Kluyveromyces lactis: one gene and its partner. The protein of the gene in region 1 purifies or fractionates together with the protein of each later gene. This does not show direct contact. Links are inferred from orthologs where the notes say so. Each region holds a gene or a part of one and is shown on either strand. Other genes may lie near its edges. The genes, in order: COX8 and COX4.

What was found.
Region 2: the proteins of COX8 (region 1) and COX4 purify together in Saccharomyces cerevisiae (affinity purification with mass spectrometry; 4 studies listed by BioGRID, with this or other methods). This does not show direct contact. The link is inferred for Kluyveromyces lactis from reciprocal best matches to the Saccharomyces cerevisiae genes COX8 and COX4.

What each region holds. Positions count from the first base shown.
Region 1 is NC_006038.1:298,962-301,441, forward strand, and holds COX8 (cytochrome c oxidase subunit VIII), read left to right. Parts: upstream 1-1,628; coding exon 1,629-1,850; downstream 1,851-2,480. Other genes in the region: COX9 (cytochrome c oxidase subunit VIIa), read right to left, coding at 416-598. UniProt on the Saccharomyces cerevisiae protein: Component of the cytochrome c oxidase, the last enzyme in the mitochondrial electron transport chain which drives oxidative phosphorylation.
Region 2 is NC_006040.1:436,920-439,639, reverse strand, and holds COX4 (cytochrome c oxidase subunit IV), read right to left. Parts: upstream 988-2,720; coding exon 523-987; downstream 1-522. Other genes in the region: TPN1 (Tpn1p), read right to left, coding at 1,734-2,720. UniProt on the Saccharomyces cerevisiae protein: Component of the cytochrome c oxidase, the last enzyme in the mitochondrial electron transport chain which drives oxidative phosphorylation.

The DNA of each region.
Region 1 (2,480 bases):
ATCGACAAAAGGTCACATGAAATCCTTAAGTCTTTGTTTAGTAACTCCTCCAAGAAAAAACAAACAGTCGAGATGCGGTATTGCTTCCACTCATGAATAATAATACTGATAGGAGAAGAAGTCATAATATGAGAACGTATTAGCATGATAAAAGGGTACCGAATAAAAAAAAATACCATTAATGATTTTTAACCAATAATTCATCAGAATGACTGTTAATCTGTGTATGTGTTGACATAAATAGAGAAATAAAAGGTTGTGGGATGTTATAGTAACGATAGGTAATTGGGAGGAAAAAAAGGATCGAATACAATTCTCCGTATTATGGACACAGAGGTTTCAAACCTCATGGCCGCACACGAATATGTTGATTTAGATAGAAAAACACAAAGTATTGCGTTTTTTTATTCAGTCCTTAGTTTTCAGCAGCCTTTTGTTCAGCCAACTTAGCGTAGTAAGCTTCTCTCTTGTTGATGATGTTCTTGTGGAAACCCCACCACCAATAGGAAGCCATAGCACCACCAATAGCGAAACCGATGGTGATATCGGCCAAGATTCTCTTTCTAATAGTACCAGTGATTGGAGCAATTGCAGACATTATTCTTTGATGTGAAGTGAGAGTGATTGATGTGAGATGAACAAACCGTTAAGGATAGCAACAGCTAATGAAAAAGGCTAAAGTCAACACTAAGAGGGGACAGAGGAAAGATATACAAAGTACTAATCAAATATCAAAATTTCAAGAAGTAAAAGAAAATCAGAAAAACCATACGACTAAAGTAAAGAACCGAAGACAGTTAGAAAAAAAATTAACCAAAACCTGTAATGGATAGTAGAGCCAGGTAAGTTTATTTCAATTTTTTTTAATTTTTAAAGTTTCTCGATTTTTCAAGCTGTCACCAAGAGGGAATTGACATTCAGAACTCCAGTAATACCGAGTCATACTGTAGTGTGGATTTTCAAGACAATATCTGATTGAGACTCTCAGTAGGTTCCGGTAGAACCTACTATCGGTTGCCCATCAATATAGCCAAGAGAGAGGTATCGCTTTTCTTCCTCTAATACTGACAGCACCGGATTGGCAAAGAGGGAAGATTTCCCGTCAGAGAAACTCTGGGGCAGCCATTGATCGCAGGTCATGTGCCTCTTATCATCTTAGTGTAGTTAGTACAAGTAGACAAGAAAGGATCTCGCGTTAAAACCGAAATTCCCATTAGCCAATGATATCCCAGGATTCGACGTGAGTGTGTCTGTATTCAGAAAAATATGTACACGGGGAAATCACGTTCCACGAAGACACAGCAGAGCTTTGCTTTAAGAGTGAAAGTCGGAAATCTTACACCATTACCCGGATACTCCGTTTGTGTCTCACTACTTTCTGAGCCGTTTTCCCACTTCTGTCAATTTTTTTTGTTATTGCACGACTTTTTCCTAATCCTGTTTCTCTTCTTAGCAGCGATAGAAAGGTAAAAAAAATATATCGTATTATTTTTTTTTTCATATTTCAATACAATTAGCACTGCAATTTACAACTCTTGTTAAGGATGGTTTATAGTTTATTGTTGATATTAATAACTTTGTTTCGATAACCTAGCGTCCAATACCACAGCAAATATTCCAATCAAAACATGTTTTCCCAAGTTACCAGACTAGCCACCAGAAGAGCCTTCTCTGCCACTTCCAAGCAATGTGGTGCCCACTTCAAGGAAGGTGTTTACTCGAACATCCCAGTTAAGATTCACAACAGAAAGATCCCATACGCTTTCATCCACTTCGGTTTCTTTGCTCTAGGTTTTGCTGTTCCATTCATCTCTTCTTACGTGCAATTGAAGAAGTTTGGTGCTTTCTAAATGAGTGGATAGAAATAAATTTCCTGCCCTCTTTGTTATATCGTATCCTTTCACAATAATTTTCGTTTTATTTTCATGTCATCATTGCTACACATTCCATCCATCTGCAAATGTCCGCACTATTGCAGCCAGCCGGCGAACATATTCTATTCTATTACTTGATGAATAATGAATAGTCAGTCCGAGGTTTAAAGAAAATACCAAGCACATCACAATAACCAAAACCAGACAGCAAAATAGAATATTACTCAACTCTTCATTTCACATTTATTTATCTCTCGAGAGTGATGTATACCTGCACTCGTCGAAATCAAAAACTAAAGCAACGGTTCGAAGCAATCTGAAGCTAAAGTTGAAATTAGTGACTTCATCGACACTTTGACGAGACTCATGCAAACAAAAAATCACAAACAGATAACAAAGGAATTAACATTATCATACTCCTGGACCGTTCGTGAGATCTAATAATAATCTTAAAAGAAAAATAGCACAAGAGATAAGTGGATTTGGAATCAAGTTTCACCGGGAGTCTTCAATCGTTTCCCTCATTTTTTTCTATCTTCCGACTATCAGCTCAAAGAAATACTATATTATCAACATGAAATACTGTCAGAAACATCATTTATTTTT
Region 2 (2,720 bases), on another chromosome or scaffold:
TTGAATATTCGGTAATTACTTCTGTATCGGTAATTGTCATACTGACCCTCGGTGTCACCTTGAAACAAAGACTTTTTTTTTTGAAATTTTATTGATAAAATCGTACTTAATTTAAATAATGAGTTCTTACCTGTGAAATGTAGTATGTAGAGAAACAATGTGTAACATAAGTCTTTAATTGGTTTAAACGATCCGGGGGGGGAAAGAAATAGAGGCAATTGGTATAAAATATGAATCAATCATTCTTTTAAAATTCAATAGATCTGGCCTGTTCCCCGCTTTCCAAACATATAAACAAATCTTGATTATGTGCAGGACCAGTTCAAGTATATGTCCCCACTAAACTTTTTGTGTAATTTGTTGCTTCAGCTTGTGTAATTTATTATTTTGTAATATTTTAGAATAGGTTTGTGTATTTGACATTTGTATTGGAATTTTTAGAATGATATAGTGGTACACTGGTTGTTAATCCTTTTTTTACCAGGATAAGTGGGAATGATATGGAAGGAAGGATTAAAATGCTTAATGGTGACCTTCTTGAGGAACACCGACCATCTTAAGCTTGTATACACAACCGGTTTCCCAACATCTGGCGACTTGACCGTCGGTTGGCTTCAACCACATGACGTTGTGAGAACCAGCTGGGGAACCAGTGGCACCGACATAACGGTAGTCATCGTAGGATTCAACAATGATTGGGTTTTCCATGGTACCGATTCTGGAAGAGTCCAATGGCTTGGTGTCGAAAACTTCGATACCTTCCAATTTACCCAACAATTCCAATCTGGCTAAACCAGTGGCTTGGTCCAATTCGGTTGGAACTTCACCGTCTTTGGCACCAGGACCAATCAAAGTGTCAGCACCGTTAACTTCAGCCAACTTGGTAGCAGTCTTAACAACTTGTTGATCACCTGCAACCTTGGTGGTAGCAAAAGCTCTGGATGCTGGGCCGAACAACTTCGATAGGGATTGACGTAGAGACAACATTATTTCTTCTTTGTGATTGGATTGATAGGTGATAACTTAGATACTCCGATGTGTGAATCTAAAACGATGGAACAAAGGTATATTTGAATTGTAATGAACTAATCAATTAGCAATATATGACAAAAAGAACCACTTGGATACTGTAAGCTAGCTGAGACAGATAAGGTGATCAGTTGAATATATTCGCAAATGAAAGTAATCGGCGAAAGAAAACCCTCTGAAACAAACGTATGACTCTCTTGAACAAACTTGATAAAACGTCTTTAGCTACTTTCTAAAACTCTGAAATCACTGTTGAAAATATTATTCATATATATACATTCGGTTCCAATATCCTGCGAAAATCAAGAAATGAAAATTATCGCTTATAACAAAAAACGTACAAAAATCACATCATGTTTCCCAGTATGATTGGAGCAGGGAGAAGAAGGAAAGATACAAAAAAGGTGTCTACTCGTACATAGTGATGTACACATTTTTTAGCTGGAGTAGTCTTTCGTATTTGTTTCTATTTTGTTTCCGGCGAGAGTAGGATCTAGTGTGGGTGTTGTCAATTGAGTGAGAATTCTGCGATATGGTTGGCTAGAGGTCATGTGATTTATATAGGCAATGCCATGCCATTAATATTAAAGAGATTATTCATTTGATCTGGCGCGCGTCGCGTGACAGGTTATATACATATATGTGTGTACATATATGTGTGTTTCTATTATATGTGTATAATGTCAGATAATGGGGAAAATGGTTCACCTGCCAAATTTCTTCAGTTCGCAGTACCTTAGTGGTGGATATGATACTCCTGCGAAACCCATACCGAGCCACATACCTAAATCTCCGCCATACTCGCCAATCTTTGCGGCAAGTGGCCCCACGTAATACGTTTGACACATTCCAAGTACCACACCAGCAACACCGATGCAGAACGCAGCGGATGCAGCCAATCCTCTTGTGATGACTTCAGAGTTGTCCCATTCATCCCAGTTGTACCTGTGGATGTGCCTTGGTAATTTCCTTAGTTTATGATGTGGTTTCACTTCTATGTCATTGGGGAATTCCAATTTATATAGATGGTGGAACCAGTTTCTAAAGATGACGTTCTCTTCCACGAGTAAGATGAAGTACATGCTAATCCAGTAACCAATCATAGGTAGGAAATTTCCCAAGATGGTGGAAAAACTGTTTCTACCTACTAGCGCACATACGAGGTAAAAGATGGTACATCCGATAGCCCAGATCCAACGAGGCACCTTGGCTAACATCACACTTGATAATTGGATGGAGAATGCTGCAGAGTATGTGTTAACAATATTATTCGAGATTAAAGATAAGATCAATACAACGACCAAAAATTTCCCAAATCCATTCCAACGAGAGAAACCAGCATTCATGAGACCACCCATCCCATATTCATCATATGCAGCTTGCCAAGGTTCGTAGGACAGTGAACATGATGCCAGTAGAAGACCCAATACACCAACGAAAGTGGTTGGTACCGCAGTTCCGAAAAATGTCAATAAGAAGACTTGAATCTGAGGAGTGTCCTCGGGGAACAAGATATAGTAATCTGCTGTGATGGAACCCCAAGTTGATGTGATACTGTAACACAAAGAAAAGAAGGATAACCAGCAACCTTTCACAGTCAGTGAATCAATGTCACTATTACTGAATTCGTACAAGTACTTGAACTTGTCACTTGCTGAGATGTACAACAACAGGAAACTAGTTAGCACGGG